3 linked regions of the Canis lupus familiaris genome follow. The protein of the gene in region 2 purifies or fractionates together with the protein of the main gene of each other region. This does not show direct contact. Links are inferred from orthologs where the notes say so. Each region holds a gene or a part of one and is shown on either strand. Other genes may lie near its edges. The genes, in order: SNRNP200, SF3B1 and PRPF8.

What was found.
Region 1: the proteins of SF3B1 (region 2) and SNRNP200 purify together in Homo sapiens (co-immunoprecipitation; 4 studies listed by BioGRID and IntAct, with this or other methods). This does not show direct contact. The link is inferred for Canis lupus familiaris from reciprocal best matches to the Homo sapiens genes SF3B1 and SNRNP200.
Region 3: the proteins of SF3B1 (region 2) and PRPF8 purify together in Homo sapiens (affinity purification with mass spectrometry; 5 studies listed by BioGRID and IntAct, with this or other methods). This does not show direct contact. The link is inferred for Canis lupus familiaris from reciprocal best matches to the Homo sapiens genes SF3B1 and PRPF8.

What each region holds. Positions count from the first base shown.
Region 1 is NC_049238.1:34,656,929-34,663,333, reverse strand, and holds part of SNRNP200 (U5 small nuclear ribonucleoprotein 200 kDa helicase), read right to left. Parts: intron 5,734-6,405; coding exon 5,650-5,733; intron 5,556-5,649; coding exon 5,382-5,555; intron 4,919-5,381; coding exon 4,781-4,918; intron 4,537-4,780; coding exon 4,381-4,536; intron 3,855-4,380; coding exon 3,684-3,854; intron 1,197-3,683; coding exon 1,003-1,196; intron 447-1,002; coding exon 323-446; intron 1-322. UniProt on the Homo sapiens protein: Catalyzes the ATP-dependent unwinding of U4/U6 RNA duplices, an essential step in the assembly of a catalytically active spliceosome. Plays a role in pre-mRNA splicing as a core component of precatalytic, catalytic and postcatalytic spliceosomal complexes.
Region 2 is NC_049258.1:6,838,252-6,844,756, forward strand, and holds the start of SF3B1 (splicing factor 3B subunit 1), read right to left. Parts: upstream 3,692-6,505; 5' UTR 3,561-3,691; coding exon 3,533-3,560; intron 1-3,532. UniProt on the Homo sapiens protein: Component of the 17S U2 SnRNP complex of the spliceosome, a large ribonucleoprotein complex that removes introns from transcribed pre-mRNAs.
Region 3 is NC_049230.1:45,768,971-45,775,475, forward strand, and holds the start of PRPF8 (pre-mRNA-processing-splicing factor 8), read right to left. Parts: upstream 4,452-6,505; 5' UTR 4,302-4,451; exon of another isoform or gene 4,115-4,301; 5' UTR 4,104-4,114; coding exon 4,004-4,103; exon of another isoform or gene 3,959-4,003; intron 3,373-3,958; coding exon 3,204-3,372; intron 2,090-3,203; coding exon 1,925-2,089; intron 1,832-1,924; coding exon 1,613-1,831; intron 1,498-1,612; coding exon 1,285-1,497; intron 1,159-1,284; coding exon 1,033-1,158; intron 945-1,032; coding exon 839-944; intron 1-838. UniProt on the Homo sapiens protein: Plays a role in pre-mRNA splicing as core component of precatalytic, catalytic and postcatalytic spliceosomal complexes, both of the predominant U2-type spliceosome and the minor U12-type spliceosome.

The sequences.
Region 1 (6,405 bases), on a different chromosome or scaffold from region 2:
CCCCTGGATACAGATTCTACTGTAATATCCCATTTCATTCCTAATACTGGTGATCTGTGTTGTATCCTCTCTTTTTTATTTTTGTCGATATTGCCTGATTATAAACCAAAAAGTCAAGAACACCTGGGTGGCTCAGCGTCTGCCTTCGGCTCAAGGCGTGATCCCAGGATCCGGGATCGAGACCCACATCAGGCTCCCTGCATGGAGCCTGCTTCTCCCTCTGCCTGTGTCTCTGTCTCTCATGAATAAATAAATAAAATCTTTAAAAACAAAACACTACAAAAAGTCAAGAACAGAGTTCAACAAGAAACCACAGACAGACCTGATTTTTTCCAGCATGTTCCATAATCTTCTCATAGACTATTTCATTCATGATCTGGAAACGCTTGATAGCTTTTTTCTCTGTGATACCCACATAAGTCTGTTCCAGGGGCACTGGGCGGAAGCTAGAAGTTCAATAGTTAAACATATTAGGCTTCTAGCACAGAATACTGAGGAAATAAACAGTCATATTTGCTGCCCAGGAACGACATTCCTTTCTAGATTCACACCACATCAAAACTCAAAGACCGGGACACCTGTGTGGCTCAGTGGTTTAGCACCTGCCTTCGGCCCAAGGCATGATCCTGGAGTCCCAGGATCAAGTCCCACATCGGGCTCCCTGCATGGAGCCTGCTTTTCCCTCTGCCTGTGTCTCTGCCTCTCTCTCTCTCTGTCTCTCTCATGAGTAAATAAAATCTTTTTTTTTTTAAGAAATCTTTAATAAATCTTATTTATTCATGAAAGACATAGGCTGAGAGAGGCAGAGACATAAGCAGAGGGAGAAGCAGGCTCCTCGCAGGGAGCCCAATATGGGACTTGAAAAAATAAAAAAAGAAAGAAAGAAAGAAAGAAACCAAACCCAAAGACCCTTCTAATACCCAATCCAACAAAGCTCCCTGAAAGGGGGATAGGGCAGCAGGAAGGTCACCCTGGTTAAATTTCTCCCATCTTCTCTCATACCTATTGTCGAAGTAAAAGAGGCCCTTGGCAGGATCCACACGCAGGAAGGTAGCCACGTCTTCATAGTTGGGGAGGGTAGCACTTAGACCAATGAGTCGGACATCCTCCTGAGTCATCTCAATGTTTCGGATGGCCCTGGCCACCAAAGCTTCTAAGACAGGACCTCTGTCATCGTGGAGGAGATGGATCTCATCCTAAGTAATGAAGGGGCTACAAATTATCTCCAGGACTAGAAAAATGTGGTCCTCTTTCCTGAAAATAGTCCCATTTTGTGGTATATACCTCATATGCCAAATAAAGAAGAAAAGAGCAGGCAAGAGAAACCCAAAGGGTGGGACAACATTCACTGTGAAATACCCTGGAAAATATTCTCCTGTAACCACTGAGAGCTGCATTGCTAATTTAGTGAAACATATGCTTAATGGCAAGAAAATCTAATACTTCAGGTAAATGAGTTCATCACTTCACTCAAAGACAAATTTCTTGGGTAGCTCAGTGGCTGAGCATCTGCCTTTGGCTTGGGTCATGATTCCAGGGTCCTGGGATCAAGTCCCTTATCAGGCTCCCCACAGGGAGCCTCGCTCTACCTGTGTCTTTGCCTCTATGTCTCTCATGAATAAATAAAATCTTAAAAAAAAAAAAAAAAGACATTTCTTTACTAAAAATGAAGCTTCTAAGCAGATCATATTTATATCAAAGAAGGTTTCACCTCTGGGCAGTTATCCTTACTACTTTGTACTTGCAAAAGATATCATGAATCAAATGATGAGCTCGCATATCCTAAGGTAATGCTTCTTAAATTTCAGTATGCAGCATGGGATCTTACTAAAAAGCAGATTGTGGGGTACCTGAGTAGTTTAGTTAAGCACCAAATTCTTGATTCCAGCTCAGGTCATGAGCTCAGGGTCCAGAGATCAAGCCCAACGTGGGGCTCTGCACTCAGCGTGGAGTCTGAGATTCTCTCTCTCTCCCTCTGCCCCTCCCCTGGCTCACACTCTTTCTCAATAAATCAATTAATTAATATCTTAAAATAAATCAATAAAAAGATTATATTTCAGTAGGTGTGGGATGGGGCCAGGGACTCTGCACTTATTAAAGACTTTGAATAGTGAGGCTCCAAAGCGGGGGTTGACAAACTTCATAAAGGGCCAATCAGGGACACCTGGGTAGCTCAGTGGTTCAGCCTTTGGCTCAGGTTGTGATCCCAAGGTCCTAGGATCAAGTCCTGCATCAGACTCCCTGCAGGGAGCCTGCTTCTCCCTCTTCCTATGTCTCTGCCCCCTCTGTGTCTCTCTTGAGTAAATAAACCTTAAAAAAAAGGGGGGGGGGGCAGACAATCAGTATTTTAGGATTGTAAGCCATACAGTCTCTGCTACAAATAAAACTGACCCCTGTACAATGCAGGAGTTAGGGGTGTCCTACATAGTCGAGAATCTGCTTATAACTTCAATTCTCCCAAAACTTAACTACAAATAGCCTACTCTTTACCAGAAGTCTTACAATAACATAAACAGTTGGCGAACACACATTCCATATACATTTTATATACTTGTATTCTTACAATAAACTAAAATAATGTTATTAGAAGTATAAAAGTATAAATATGGGCAGCTCCAGGTGGCTCAGAGGTTTAATGCCGCCTTCAGCCTAGGGCAAATCCTGGAGACCTGGGATCGAGTCCCATGTCAGGCTCCCTGCATGGAGCCTGCTTCTCCCTCTGCCTGTGTCTCTGCCTCTCTCTCTGTGTCTCTCATGAATGAATAAATAAAATCTTAAAAAAAAAAAAAAAAAGTATGAATAACACGTTTACAGTATGGCACTATATTTATTTTTTTTTAAATCCATATATAAGTGGACCCATGGAGTTCAAGCCTGTGTTGTTCAAGAGTCCACTGTACTTACTTCTGTAACTGCAGCACAAAAGCAACTGTAAACCATACATAAATAAATGGGTATGGCTATAGTCCAAAACCAGTAGCTGCAGATTGCCAACTCCTGCTCTAGGATATTGAAAATCTACGTACAAGACCTCCGTCCTGTTCTCTAGACAACTTAAAGAAACTACACTCAGACTCAAAGTCATTTTTGCCTGGGTGCTTCTGCATGTATGGAACACAATATCCTGATTCCTTAACTCACTCTGTCTGAGAATGGATTATTTATTTATGAAGCCCTTTAATGTCCTGGGAAGACACAATTAGTTATGTCTGTTTACATTTGTTTTAAAATATTTCAGATAAAAAAAAAAAAAAAGCTATGAAGAGCAAGGAACGTGGCAAACACCATGCACCTCCTCAGAACTATTTCAATTAGATGCATTTTCTCATTTAATGATTACAGCAATGCTGATAACGGCTGTCATTATACAGGCTAGTGACTGGAGGAAAGCACTGAAAAAATGGTCACCAATAAAAGCCAGCAAACCAGGGGCATGTGGATGGCTCAGGTCATGATCTCAGGGAATGTGGTGAGATCAGGCCCCATGGCAGGCTCCACACTCAGTGAAGAGAGTATGGATTCTCTCCATCTGCCCCCTGCCTCCCCCCAACTCACCCCCAACACCCCCCTCCTCCCATCACTTGCTCTCTAATAAATAAATCTTTAAAAAAAACAAACAAAAATTCCAGCAAACCCTTCTCAACCAGGCCTGGCCTCTATGTCCCCAAGTACTCCCTGCTCACCAGAATGATAAGCCGTACAAGCTGGGTGTATGTGCGCTCCCCACCCTTGCGGGTAATGATGTCCCACTTCTCGGGGGTGCAAACGATGATCTGAGTGGCGCTGATCTCCTCCTTGCACAGCTGGTGGTCACCAGTCAATTCTGCAACAGTGATGCCATAGGTGGCCAGGCGCTAGGTGAAGGAGAGGCAGGTCAATCAAAAACACTGCAAAGGGGCCTTGCTATCGCACTTTGGGAAGTCTCAGAGTAGGATACTGGAAGGAGGTATCAACCCAACAGAGAAATATCAAACGAATTAGATTGATCATACAAGCGCATATATCTAAAACAAATCAAGTTCACACTAAGGCAAATGAAGCAGACAGAGGATGTCTGGGACTTCTGCACACAAGGGGGAATGGAAACCTGTAGATAACAGGACCTGGAATAATACCACCAGATCTATTATCAACCACATCTTGTGAGTGTTTCATAAATTCTTCAATAACATCAATTATTACAACTACAGAATACTGCTATGGAAAGAATTAAAAAAAGATGCTAAATCCTTGTAAAAGTCCAAGACAGGTGCAAGACATTCTTGCTCCAGTAACACTCTGAACTCGGGTCAAGTTCCACCTTGAAGTGGAAGAAAACCACTGGATGAGGCATCCCAGGAATGATCTAACCCCCACTCCCAGTATCTCTCTACCCCTTACCTTTCCAAAACTGCCCACCATCTCCTGCACTAGAGACCGCATGGGAGCAATGTAGATAATCTTGAAGTCATCCACGTTGATGGTGCCATCCATGTTAATGTGCTTCCCTATCTCTCGGAGCATGCACATCAGGGCCACGTTGGTCTTACCTGCACCCTAAGACAGAAGTTGAGGATGAGAAGGTCTGCTTACCCGCCCTCACTACCACAGGCTTATCACCAAAACAGACACTAGAGCATGTCCTGGGATGGTAGGATATCCTACCATTTAACATCTCTTCCATCAAAGAAAGAACTCCGGTGGGGGGGCAGGGGGTAGCATATGGGTGAAGATGAACAATCTTGCCATCAAAAACATACACCACTTTCCACAAGAACAAAGCAGCCAGGGCAGTGCTTACAGTAGGGGCGCACAGCAGCAGATTCTCATCTGTCTCCAGAGCAGCACGGTAGAGTTTACTCTGGATCCGATTTAATGTTTTGAAGCCCTCAAATCCAGCCTGGGCATACTTCGGGAGCTTCTCCACTGGAAGCAGTTGCTAAAAGAGAGAAACAAGGATGCCTGGGTGGCTCAGCGGTTGAGCGACTGCCTTCAGCTCGGAGCATGATCCTGGAGTTCCAGGATCGAGTCCCGCACTGGGCAACCTGCATGGAGCCTGCTTCTCTCTCTGCCTCTCTCCTTCTGTATCTCTCATGAATAAATAAATAAAATCTTTAAAAATGAATGAATGAATGAATGAGAGAGAGAGAAAAATGCCATTCACATTCTGCTGGCAGCATCCTTGAGCAAGCTGTTTTTGTGGGACAGCCAGGACTGCACTTCCTGGCACCCTCCCTGTGTCACTCTCCACTGTCCCCTAGGCTCACAAAGTGGGAAAACTCTGAAACAGCTTCCACATCAGGGAAAAACTATGAAGCAAGATCACATTTTGGCCAATGGGTTGAAATCCAAACTGGAAGAGAAGTGAAAACAAAGAAAATGGAGAAAAGCAATTCACTCACTTCTTCGGAACCAAAGGGCTTGGGCTTCAGAGCAGGCACATGCACCTCTTCATAGCCCTTGCGCTGGCGCCGGAAGGACCCATCAGGAAGCTGACAACGTTTATTGGCCATGAAGTGGCTCCCCTGGGTAAAAACCAGGTCCTCCAAGTCCAGAACCTGCCGTGGAGCCAGTGCCTAGGAGTATGAAAAACAAAAACCCAAAGTGAGCAAGGTGAACAAATGAGCTTTTTCCATCTAGCACCACCTTGGAAATGAACCCAAGACCTACCTCTCCACCCTGGTCCAGATCCATGGTTTCCAAGTCTGTGTCCATCCGGGACTGACGCACTCGCTCTCTCCGGGACCTTTCCTCCTGTAACAGAGAAAGGCCCAAAGAATAACAATCCATCACCATTGAAGGTTCTGGTCCCTTTTGGTCTCTGCTTAACTAAGCTTGACTCATGGGTGCTGACCAGTAAGTCCCAAACTAGAAAGACCGTCCTTTATGTTCAGACATCTGCCATCGGGACCACCAGAATGATGGAAGCAAGCAGTTTTAAAGGGACAACGGGGACACCTGAGTGGCTCAGCAGTTAAGTGCTTGCCTTTGGATCAGGGCGTGATCCCGGATTCCCAGGTTCGAGCCCCACAATGGGCTCCTTGCATGGAGCCTGCTTCTCCCTCTGCCTGTGTCTCTGCCTCTCTCTCTGTGTCTCTCATTAATAAATAAATATTTTTTTAATTAAAATAAAAAAAGTAAAGGGGCAATGCAGGGGCACCTGGGTGGCTCAGTCAGGCATCTGACTTCGGGTCAAGTCGTGGTCTCAGGTTCCTGAGACAGGGGCCCGCATCAAGCTCCCCGCTCAGCAGGGAGTCTCTTGTCCTTCTCCCTCTGCCCCTCTCCCCACATGTATACATATTCTTTCAAATGAATAAAATCTTAAAAAAAAAAAAAAAAAAAAAAACTTTCCTCTTAAAAAAGAGGACAATGCATAGCACAGGGATTTCAAAAGTAGATGTTCAACAATTCAGCACCAAGGGCTAA
Region 2 (6,505 bases):
TGCAGCAATTACTCTAAAACTAAATTACAGGGATCCCTGGGGGGCTCAGCGGTAGAGCATCTGCCTTTGGCTCAGGGCATGATCCTGGAGTTACGGGATCAAGTCCCACATCAGGCTCCCTTCAGGGAGCCTGCTTCTCTCTCTGCCTGCGTCTCTGCCTTCTCTGTCTCTCACGAATAAACAAATAAAATCTTTTTTAAAAATACAACAAAGAAAAAAATACAACAAAGAAAACTCCTTACTAGCAATATTACTTAGGATAAAAAGATTATATAATCTTCTTAAAAAAGCAACAAGATGGGGTGCCTGGGTGGCTCAGTCAGTTGAGCGTCAGCCTTCAGCTCAGGTCATAATTTTGGGGTTGAGCCCACATTACAGCTTCCTGTTCAGTGGGGAGTCTGCTTCTCCCTTATCCTCTGCTTCTCCCCGTTTGTGCAGTTTGTGCTCCCTCTGTCTCTTATTCCCTTTCTCAAATAAAATCTTAAAAAAAAAAAAAAAGACCATAGCTTAAAAAAACCACACACACACCACATGATGATGGACAACTCTAAAACAAAAATCAAAGAATATACATTTTTAAAGTTACTACAGTGAGGTTCAAACTCAAGCCTAGCTTAAGAATTGCTGCTCTTACTGCCACTCTTCAACACTGCAACTAAAGACTTTCCCAAAATGCAGAAATAACTTGTCACCTGGGAGAAGTAGGTACTTTATTCTGTAGTCACTGGAAAGCCAAGTCAAGCCTAACTTAGAGTTCAAAGCTTTCTTTAATTTGATGCAAACCTTTCTTCCTCTCAGCGCAGAAGGTTCCCAATACATTAACAAGTCCTACTTCCCACCTACCTCAGCCAAACAATGTATCCAAACCTACCCAATCATTCAAAAGTGAGTTTAAGCGGCCCCTTTCTGTGAAACTTTTAATATTTCCAATATAATCTCTCAATAAATGTTAATACTCAGTACTCATTAGGCATTAGGTACTGGGGATACCAAGAAATAGTTCCTGTACACATCAGTCTCAACGTGGATAAGAAAACCTTGGGCAGCCCGGGTGGCTCAGCAGTTTGGCGCCGCCTTCCACCCAGTGCGTGATCCTGGAGACCCGGGATGGAGTCCCACGTCAGGCTCCCTGCATGGAGCCTGCTTCTCCCTCTGCCTGTGTCTCTGCCTCTCTCTCTCTCTCTCATGAATAAATATTTTTTAAAAAACCTTAACACAATAGAATATTCTAGTATAATAAAGAGCTACAGTAGCACCTAGGTAAGTAAATAAATAAATAAATAAATAAATAAACCCACCAAGAAATCTGCTCCAGGCTATCAGAGATGACTTATTAAGGGAAAAGAGAAGAGATGCACCATGAACCATTCCAGATCTTTAGGAAAGTATCTCTATGTAAATATTATGCATATTTCCACTAAACATTGATCATCCTTTACCAAAAACTCACAGTGACAGACTGTCTTATACACAGTGCTGTTGTTAACTGAATACTGCTATACTTTCTTTATAGCATCAGTTAATTCATACTGTAGCAAGATTCCAAATAAAAAAGCAAACTTGGCCAATCAACTTCAATCTTCTATAGACCAAAGCTTTTAATTGAGTCTCAAAAAAGCAGGAAACCTGATCCAAACCTTGATTTCCCTGTCCAAAAGTATCTTTATGATTAAAAATATCAACAAACAAGTGATCAAAGCCACAAACTGCCCCCAATGAACAGCCTACTCCTGAATAAACAAGAGCAACATCTTCAGTTTCTAATTATTTTGCAAAAGGTTACATCCGGATTAGTCTAAAGACAGAAGAGTAAGTGCCTAAACAACCTTCAGGGCTAAAACAGTGTTTAAATCCTAAATACCGGGCAGCCCGGGTGGCTCGGCGGCTTGGTGCCTGCCTTTGGCCCTGGGCGTGATCCTGGGGTTCCGGGATCGAGTCCCGCATCAGGCTCCCTGTGGGGGAGCCTGCCTCTCCCTCTGCCTGTGTCTCTGCCTCTCTTTCTCTGTGTCTCTCATGAATAAATAAATAAAATAAAATATATATCTCATATAAAATAAAAAATATCTCATGAATAAATAAAAAAATATAAAAAATAATAATAAAATAAATAAATAAATCCTAAATACCTACCCCCACAACGAGAAGAGTATTAAAGTCACTGCCCATTAATTAGCATGTCGCAGAGAGCTGGACTTCAGTTCTGGCGGGGAACACAATTATTCCAGGGCATTCACATCCTGGTCCCAACCAACCTTTCCAGATTCGCCTACACTTTCCCTCCCTGCAGCGCCACAGTCCACTACTCAAACACACTTTTCAGGACTCCTTGCCTCGTTACAAGATGTCCTCTCAGGCTCAAATGTCCTCCCCTAATTTAAAACGGATTGATCCGTTTAGGCCAGGGACACGTCACCTCCTCTATGGAAGAGTCCTACCTAGGCAGGAATTAATCACTCCGTTACCCAGAATCCCAGAACATGCGGCCTGTATTTCTATTTAAGCGTTAATTTGCCTCATGAAAGAATGAAAACGTATACACACACACACACCTGTCTCCCCAGGAGCCTGTAAAACTTTGCACGGCCTTACTCTTTGTTACTTCGGACTCACACGGAGCCAGCACCTGGAAACGACCCGTGAAAATACAAATGACTCCTGGAAGCCTCCCGTTCGACGAACGCTTCAGATTCCAGGTCAGAAAAAAAAAAAAAAAATCCTAAGGAACGCGCCTCCCAATGCCCATGCCTCATCTTCTCTGAAGTGACCCTATTTCCTGTCATTTCTGGAAACTGGATACTCCCTCAAGAACTCCGGCTTATTCTCAGCATTTTCCTAAATTCCGTGTTCTCCGAATTCCACAAAACGATCAGGTACCTCGAAAGCTTTGACCGCTGGGAATAATAACGTGCCTTTCCCTCTTCCACCAATCATCAGTCTCCAAGGGGGGGGGGTGGGGAACAAACACCAATATACAAGTGATCACGGGAAGAAAAAACTACCAGATTTTATGTCCAAATCACTTCATACAAAAAAAAAAAAAAAAGTATTTTAGATGCCTGATTAGCCGAGACGAAGAGGAACGGGCCTCAAGCAGGCTACGCTCGAGTTGGCGCTGCCGAAAAGCGGCTGCCGTGTTCCCGGGCTCCCCCGACTCCCCCGGGCACGAACTGCGCCCGCCACAGTTCCGTGAGGCGAGGGCGACTCCCGGCTTTCACGCCCGTTTCCCCGATTCGCGGCCCTGGCCTCCCCCCCGGCGAGCCGTCTGAACGAGGCCTTCCGCTCGGAAAAGAGAAGCAACTCTGAAGGAACAGGACCCAAACGCGGAACAAAGCGCCTGCCCGCGGTGGAGGAGTAGGACGCCATTACGTGGGGCAGTGGCCTGCGCCGCTAGCGCCGAGGAGCCGACCAGGGCCCCCACGCGCGGGCGCGGCACCCCACCAACGAAACCACAGGCCGAGGCAAAAACCGAGTAAAATCGAGTCTTGGCAGGCTGGCAGCAGAGAAGACGCGGGAGCACGGGAAGACGCCTTACCTTCGTGGGTCTTGGCGATCTTCGCCATTTTGTCCACTCGAACACACAGACGGAACTGGCGCTCCCCAGCACTTCCGCTCGCCGCCGCTGCCACGGAGAAAAATAGCTGGGGAATGCTCTCTGCGCGTGCGCCAAGCGGGGGCGCGCGCCGCCGCGCGACACGTGACGGAGCAGCCGCCTAGAGGGAACAGAGCGATGCATTGTGGGGGAGGGGGAGGAGCCAGGGCCCGGCGCGGAGGCGGTTTTCGCGGTGGCGGGAGGAGGAGGGCTAAGCGAGTCCTGACGCGGGGGCGGGGGCGGGGGCGACGGCGACTGCTCTGGAGGGAAGTGGGTTGTGCGAGGACCCGCTGATAGTCACTGCGAGAGACGCTGGATTTCAGGCCCGTCCGAAGCCTCAGGCCGTCAGTTCTCGTCCTCCACGTCGAGCGGAGGTGTGTCGGTGCCAGGCGAGAGCTCCTGTGGCGTCTCTCAGCGGCTGCAGTGGGTAGTTGTGGAGACACACACCAGTCACGTCCTTCGCGCTGAAATTCAAGGTCATTTTTCTTTCTTCTTAAAGAATTACTTGCCATTTGGGTAGGAGTTTCGTGCACAACATTATTATTTCCAGACACTGTTGTACCTCACAAACAACCCAGGAAAGTGGGCGAGTTGTTGCTAATCCCATTTAAGAAAGGAGAGGAAAACTAGGGCGGGGGTGTAAATAAAATATGCAAGGTCACACCCTTACTGAATTACCCGGGAGGAACTGTGCCGTCCTTTTTTAAAGCCTTTTAATTTCATAGGTTCTTAGAAAACCACTGGCTGTCAGCATTAACACTGATGGAATGCCTTTCTTTTTTTTTTAATTTTTATTTATTTATTTATGATAGACACACAGTGAGAAAGAGAGAGAGGCAGAGACACAGGCAGAGGGAGAAGCAGGCTCCATGCAGGGAGCCCGACGTGGGATTCGATCCCGGGTCTCCAGGATCGCGCCCTGGGCCAAAGGCAGGCGCCAAACCGCTGCGCCACCGAGGGATCCCTGGAATGCCTCTCTTAATCCTAAATGTCACTCTTGAATCAGGAATTTTTAAAAGCTCCAAATATGGCTTTTCTTTTTTTTTTTTTGCCTACTCCTCAATTACAAAAGCATAATTTTGAACTGCCACACTGGCCTTGGACTTTAGGATTAAAAAAGAACATAACTTTGAGGGGAAGTTGGTACAGGAAGCAGCCTAAGGAAACAGGTAAGGATTAAGGTTAGAGCTATCACCAAAAACGTTTGCCTGGCTGTGTAACAGGATCACAACATGAGTATTTAGTAGAAACTTTAGTAACAAAAATGGGACTTAGTATCAATGAAAAAAATCAATTTGATGAGAGAAAATTTTCAATTTTCAATTGTTTTAATTTAGGTTAAACAATAGTTGAGGGAGGAAAGGGTTAAGAGAACATGTAGATTGTTTTTTTAAAAAAAGATTTTATTCATGAGAGATAGACACAGGCAGAGGGAGAAGTAGGCCCCCTGCAGGGAGTCTGACATGGGACTGGATCCCAGGGACCACAGGGGTCACGACCTGAGCTGAAGGCAGACACTCAACCCCTGAGCCATGCAGGCGTCCCAAGAACATGTAATTTTATGAATTATTGGTAAACTCTAGTTGTTGAATTGGCAGAGTGCCCACAGATATTCCTTACATAGTTTATAACCTACACATAGATTGCACATATTCTTTTATATATATAAAATAGCATGTTTTAAAATAATGAAAAAAGGATGAATGGGAAATAAAGAATTACAGAAGGGTGTTATGATCCATCAATAATCAACAATCTAAAAAAATCCATGTTGACAAAAAGAATCACAAGGACATGGCATTTCTTGGCTCTTATTTAAAAATAGGAAGAAAAAAAAGAAAAAAGAAGAAAGGTAAATTTGTATATACAAGACAATCACTGTCCTGTCAAAATATATGCAAAGGAAATTCACCAAAGTGTTAATAGTGGATGCCTATGACTGGTGAAATTATGAACTTTAAAAATAATTTTTAGTATTTTCCAGATACTTTGCTATAAGCACATTTTTATAATACACAAAAGGAATATATTAAAAGATGGAATGCCTGGCCAGCTCAGTTGAAAGAACATGCGACTCTTAATCTCACAGTGGTAAATTTGAGCCCCACATTGGGTGTACAGATTTCTAGAAATAAACTATATTTAAAAAAAAAAAAATGAAAAGCATGTGCAAAGGTGTCACATGTCCTTTTCATTCTAAGATAGAAGCTGCATCTGCTGGCCACTTTGTATTATTACATGCATATTTCTCTAGGTTACTAGGTATTAAGTTAACTTTTGTAAGTTTTTTTTTTTTAATTTATTTATTCAGAGAGAGAGAGAGAGAGAGACCAAGAGGCAGAGACACAGGCAGAGGGAGAAGCAGGCTCCATGCAGGGAGCCCGACACGGGACTCGATTCCGGGTCTCCAGGATCAGACCCCGGGCTGAAGGCGGCGCTAAACCGCTGTGCCACCGGGGGTGCCCTTAAGTTAACTTTTGTAAGGCAAAGGCCCTATGGAATAGTGAGGAAAGAGAAAATTTGCCAAAGGAGATTCCCTTCTTTTAGTCTTCTAAAGACTAATTTATCTTTAATAAAACAATGACTTGGACATTCAGACAGGAAGTAAGTTTTTCAACAAGTACCTTTTACTTTCCACTTTCAATATTAATAAATAATACTCAGATATCATTTAAAATACATTTCCTGCCCTTTTCTGGTGAAACTTTTTGTTTCAAAAATTAGAAAAGGTGATCTGGTCTTTTGTAATCTAGACAATTAACAGTGATGTCATCCAATGTCTTTTTTTTTTTTTTTTTTTTTTTTTTAATTTACTCACGGAAGACAGAGAGAGAGGCAGGCGCCATGCAGGGAGCCCAACGTGGAACTCCATCCCAGGTCTCCAGGATCATACCCTGGGCTGAAGGCGGCGCTAAA
Region 3 (6,505 bases), on a different chromosome or scaffold from region 2:
CTGGGATCGAGTCCTATATCAGGTTCCCGTGGGGAGCCTGCCTAGATCTCTGCCCATGTCTCTGCCTTTCTGTCTCTCATGAATAAATAAATAAACTCTTAAAAAAAAAAAAAAGGCCAAAAAAAAAAAAAATAAATAAATAAAAAAAAAAAAAAGGCCAATCACAAAAGACCACATACTGAAAGATCCCATTTATATGAAACCTCCAGAAGAGGCAAATCTACAGAAAGACTAGGAGTTGACTAGGGGAGGGAAACAGCGACTGCTAATGGTATGGGAATTTCTGGGATGATGAAAAGGTTGGAAAATTGTCTGTGGATATAGCTAAACTACTCTGTGAATAAACTAAATACCACTGAATTATAAACTTTAAATGGGTGAGTTGTACGGTATGTGAACTAATAAATATATCTAATAAAAGGATTGGAAAAAATTCATAATGCAAACAGCCCTGAAATTACTATATGGAAAGTCCCAATCACAAAAACCCAGATTATACAAATAACTTAGTTTAAACCAAGCACTTTACTGACATATCAAAGCTCAAAGGGAACACTAAATAGGTAGTTCAATTTTTATTTAGTAACACTTCAGCTACAGTCAGCAAATTTCTCTTCAAAGAACTAAGATCTTGGTAGCCCGGGTGACTCAGTGGTTTAGCGCCGTCTTCAGCCCAGGGCCTGAACCTGGAGACCTGGGATGGAGTCCCATATCAGGCTCCCTGCATGAAGCCTGCTTCTCCCTCTGCCTGTGTTTCTGCCTCTCTCTCTCTCTCTCTCTCTCTCTCTCATGAATAAATAAAATCTTAAAAAAAAAGAAAAAAGAACTAAGGTCTTACCTTGACAGAGTGCCTGTGAGAAATTGGGTTGATCAAAGGATCAAAGTAGAAAGCTGGGAGATCAGGATCCTCAGTTTTGATGAACACAACATTAGGAGTGTGGTACCTAAAATAAAGGAAGAGTAATAAACTCAGGTTCTCCTGCCCTGGCCCAATATCCTCTCCCCCCTCTCCCCCTTTGCTCTAGCTCTCACCAGGTAAGGTGGACATGGTGTGGAAGGTTGTTGTACAGATAGGGAAAAGCAATCTTGTATTCAGTGCGGATAGGCTGCCGGATGATGATCTTGTTAATATCGTTGAATTCATTCCAGTCTTCATCCCTAGGGTACATTATCAAGGATGAGCAGACTAGTTGGGGAGTTTGGAAACTACAATGGCATCTCAAGGATCAAGATTAGATTTTACTCAATCCGAGGTGCCTATAATCCCTAGTATCTCCAACTTACTGGAGGTTGATGTCTCGAACAAGAGGTTCAAATTTGGGGCCTCCAGGAATGGCCATATTGAGTGCCTTGGACGTGAAGAAGGCTTTCAGATCAAAGAGATAGAAGTAGTTATCATCTACCAAGTCTGTCAGGAGCTGATTGGCCAAGCGGTATAGAGTGGACATCATGGGCAGTGTGAACTGCCAGCGCTGGTAAGTGGAACCATTCACGTACCTAGGGAAAAAAGACAGGCCTATGTCAGGTAGCCAAGCCATTCTGTCTATTGCTCACCCAGGACTCCTGGCCTTCCAAAACTTTCACAGGAGTGATAACTCCAACCATCACTCACTTCCGACTATCCCTCAATGGCTGGTGGTCATAAAACCAGTCCAACACAGGAGCATCCTCTTCAGGGTCCAGCTCTAGCTGAATGGCCTCCAGTGGTTCAACATCCAAGATATTGTCAGCATAGTCCAAAGGTGGCTCCTCATCATCAAAAGGGGGGAAACGCATCCTCTTGAAATGCCTTCTGTCTCTTTTTTCTCGACGCATCATAATCCACATTGACCTAAAAGCCAGCAATTTCACACTATGGTTTCTACCCGCTGCCCCCAACCAGCACCCCCACCATCAACAACAACCATATTCTAGCCCTTCTCACCCCCACTGGGAGATGTAGACAGGCTCAATGACCCAGGGAATCTCATTGACAAAAGAAATGGCTCCAGTGATGTGGTACAGCACAGGTACATCCCGAATCTGCTCCCAAGGCATAGGCATGTTCTCCAGCAGTTTGAGGACTGCATGGGGCATGTATTTCAGGGCACTGCAACATTAGGGAGAGAGAAGATTATAAATGACAAAGCTGTTGTTACCTGTGCCATGCAGAGAAGCCACATGGTGTCATAGTACCACATTCCACAGAAAAGTCTGCCTTACAGTCCAAACTTAGCATACAGGAATCCTGTCTCTCCCTCTGCAATTGTGCCAGTCTTCCTCTTAAACTGCACAGTTCCAATATTGGGTTTCTGTCCCTCTGTATCAACAACTGTCCCTCTAAAGACAGCTTTTGAGCTATTACACATTCTATACTATCTTCCTATAAGTAATAATGAAATATTCATCATAAAATACTCATCATTATACCCATCTTTCCCACATCTGTCAGGCCACTAGACTGTAAGATCCAGAAAGGCCATTACTGCCTATTCATTGCTATATCCCTAGCACCTACCACAGCTTTCAAAATAATATTTTTTATAAACAAACATCTATGGCTCCTTTTTTAAAGATTTATTTGAGATAGAACATGAGAGACAGCACAAGCAGGCCCCCCGCTGAGCCGGAAGCCCAATGTGGGGTTCCATCCCAGGACCCCGGAATCATGACCTGAGCCGAAGGCAGACGCCCAACTGAGCCACTCAGGTGTCCCTTTGTTTTTCTTCTTAACGACAATATTACAACAGTTTATTAAGTGGCTAACGTTTTCCTGTCCAAATGGAAAAGAGATTTACTAAGGCACTTATACATGTATTCACTCAGCTTGGGGCCACAGAAAAGAGCATAGAAGCCTCACGAATTAAATATCCTGAACCTCAGGACTAGTCACTGCTAAGTTAAAGGCAACAAGAATGTAGTGTCCTATTATGGGTTTCAACCCATTCAAAGACGGGCATCTTATAGCTCCAACAGGACAAATTAATGTCAGGTCAAGAAAAAAACTCAGGGCAATCAAGAGAATAACTAAAGATCTGAAAGTTATCACAGAATCCTAGTTTTTTTTCCTCTCTCTCTCTTTTTTTATAACCACCGAGATGGGGTGTCATAGAGGATTCCTGTCCCAAAATGACAGAGCAGCTATCCAGGACTGCAACCTATGGGACAAGGATAAGGAAGAGGGACCAAAGTTGGGAATGAAAGAATTCCAAGAGGTTCCTTACCCCAAGTAAACCCTTTTGTCATGGCGAAACTTCCTGTTGGTCATGTCTCCATGGTCTCGAATGATCTTCCTAACGTGTTCTGGGGGCATGTCTTCTTTCTGAGCATCCACAAATCCAAACTTTCGCTTTTCTGCATAGCGCTTGGCCTGTAATTGCTGCCATTTTCGGGCTACAAAGACACCTCAGTTTATTTATTTATTTTTTATTTATTTATTTTTATTTTTTATTTATGATGGTCACAGAGAGAGAGAGAGAAAGAGGCAGAGACATAAGCAGAGGGACAAGCAGCCTCCATGCACCGGGAGGCAGACGTGGGATTCGATCCCGGGTCTCCAGGATCGTGCCCTGGGCCAAAGGCAGGCGCCAAACCGCTGCGCCACCCAGGGATCCCGACACCTCAGTTTAAATAACTGCACACTCTTAGTTGAATCAGTCCCATGTCTTGCCACAGGGTAAGCCCCTGTCAGGATATAGGAGTTAGGGGTGGGCGTAGAACAGGAGCACTCTTTGCCAAGTCTCTTATCTCACTGTGCTTTATTTTCCTTTATCACATTTATGATTGTCTGACTTTTTTTTTTTTTACAGATTCTTAAGTTTTGTTTTGGTTTTTTTTTTCACTGCCTGCAAATAACAGACACCTCTGCACACTTAATTAGATGACAAAAGGAGCCAAAGGTGAGTTGACACCTAATGCTCTGACACTTGCCAAAACGAGTTAAGGAGGCAAACCCGCTGCGCGCACGCGCACAGCCGCCCTAAGCCGCCGGGCCCACAGGCGCCCTCCCGCACGCGTTCTTCACCTTTCTCTTGCAGCTTCTCCTCCGACATGTAGTCCGGCAATGGGGCTAGAGGGCCGGGCACCGGGTTACCCGGCCCTCGGTAAGGAAATACTCCAGCCATTCCCGGAGAGTCTGGGGGACAGAGAAAGAAAAAATGTAACGAGAAGCGGCGCTCGAGCCCAGCAGGAACGCGCCGACACCGCGGTCTGCAGTCCCGCTGTGCTCAGAGTACGTCCAGTCCGGCCCATCCCGACGTCCCGGCCGTCCAGCCCGACCCCACACGCCTCCCGCGGCCCAGCCCTTGAAGCCCACCACGCACCCCCACAGGCCCTCACACAGACGGCCGCTTTCTTCGCAGCGCAATGGCGGCACTCCTACGTCTGTCGCGCGTTCCCAACGCCGGGAAGTACGCAACTCTTGTTCAGCAGTTGACCCAATAGGCGCCCGTGTGCTCAGACGGATTAGAGAGCTCACCAATTAGAATACGTGTACAAGCGCCGACGGGGCCAGAGGGGGCGGGTCCATAGGCGGAAAGCTTAGAACGCAAGAGGGTGGAGTCCGGTAGGCGCTAGCCCCGCCTCCCGCTTTTTTCAGGCTGCCTTAGAGACCTGGAGTAAAGGGACCTCGCCTTCCAGTCAGCAACTGATGTCCTATCAGGCAAAGACCCTATTTTTTTTTTTTTTTTCAAAATTTTTTTTAATTTATTTATTTATGATAGTCACAGAGAGAGAGAGAGAGGCAGAGACACAGGCAGAGGGAGAAGCAGGCTCCATGCACCGGGAGCCCGACATGGGATTCGATCCCGGGTCTCCAGGATCGCGCCCTGGGCCAAAGGCAGGCGCTAAACCACTGCGCCACCCAGGGATCCCGAAGACCCTATTTTTGAAAAACAAATTTGTTAAAATCTGCACATTACACTGTGTCTACGTTCACAAATGTAGACTTGAGGTCTGCGAGCTCCGAGTCCATCAGTCCTTTTCTTCGTTCATACATTCATTCATCAAGCCATCATTTACTGAGTGTTCAGTATGCATTAGGGATTGGAATTGCAGCAGGGGAGAAAGCCAAGCTCCTGGAGCTCATAGAGAGGCGGGGAGGTCAAGTAACCCAAAATCTAGGCAGCCCGGGTGGCTCAGCTGTTTAGCGCTGCCTTTCAGCCCAGGGCGTGATCCTGGAGACCCGGGTTCGTGTCCCTCGTCAGACTCCCTGCATGGAGCCTGCTTCTCCCTCTGCCTGTGTCTCTGCCTCTCTCTGTCTCTGTCTTTCATGATTAAATAAATAAAATCTTAAAAAAAAAAAAAGTAACCCAAAATCTTACAATGCAATGTGATGAGAATTTGGGGTAGGGCATTTAACCCTGGCTGTGAAGTCAAAGGGTTAGAATATGAACTTAGGGCAACTCGGATGGCTCAGCGGTTTAGCGCCGCCTTTGGCCCAGGGTGTGATCCTGGAGACCCGGAATCGAGTCCCACATCAGGATCCCTGAATGGAGCCTGATTTCTCTCTCTGCCTCTGTGTGTGTGTGTCTCATGAATAAATAAATAAAATCTTTTTTAAAAAATAGAAAATGAACTTAGAAAAATAAAGAAGCCGTAGGGAACAGAATTGCTCGGTGTCCTTACCTCTCCCTCTCCATTCCTCTTCTCTCTGGCAGTGATTACATTATGGAGTATATAGTGGACACCTTATAAATGCTTCTCGTTTCTTTGAGGCTCTGCCTATGTCTTGCTGCCTGAATTGCGCTGATATCCTGCCATCCTTGTTCCACTTTCTATGTCTTATTCCATCCCAACAACTTTAAATCTTAGTCAACAGGTAAGTTTGTTTGAATTCACACAGTTTATTGTGGAGGATGCAGAGGAATTATAACCCACACACCCTCTCAATCTAGTTGAGAATTTAGGACTCAAAAGTGAAATAATTAGAGAAAAATGCAAAGGGGAGTTCAGGCAAGGGCTGGCTGGTGTGGAGGTTCACACAGGTCACAGAAAGGAGAGGAGCATTAGTAAAGATTTGATGGAAATGGGTGGATGTGGAGGATTTATCCCATCAGGGATAAAGAAAGTGGAAGGAAAAAGGAACCCCAGGTGGTGGGAACTGCTAGAGTTGGGAGTTTAGAAAGAAGAACCAATATGGCATGCTCTGAAAACAGCCAATCAGCCTGGCAGCAGTAGAAATTCCACCATCATCATTATTATGTTCGTCATTGTCATGAAGTTCTTCAATTTGTATAAGGTTCACTTCTGTGAACTTGTGCTAGGTATTGTTCTAAACCCTGGTAATAGGGGATCCCTGGGTGGTGCAGTGGTTTGGCGCCTGCCTTTGGCCCAGGACGCGATCCTGGAGACCTGGGATCGAATCCCACGTCGGGCTCCTGGTGCATGGAACCTGCTTCTCCCTCTGCCTGTGTCTCTGCCTCTCTCTCTCTCTCTCTGTGTGTGACTATCATAAATTAAAAAAATATTTAAATAAAAATATAAATATTCTGTAAAAAAAATAAAAAATAAACCCTGGTAATATCCT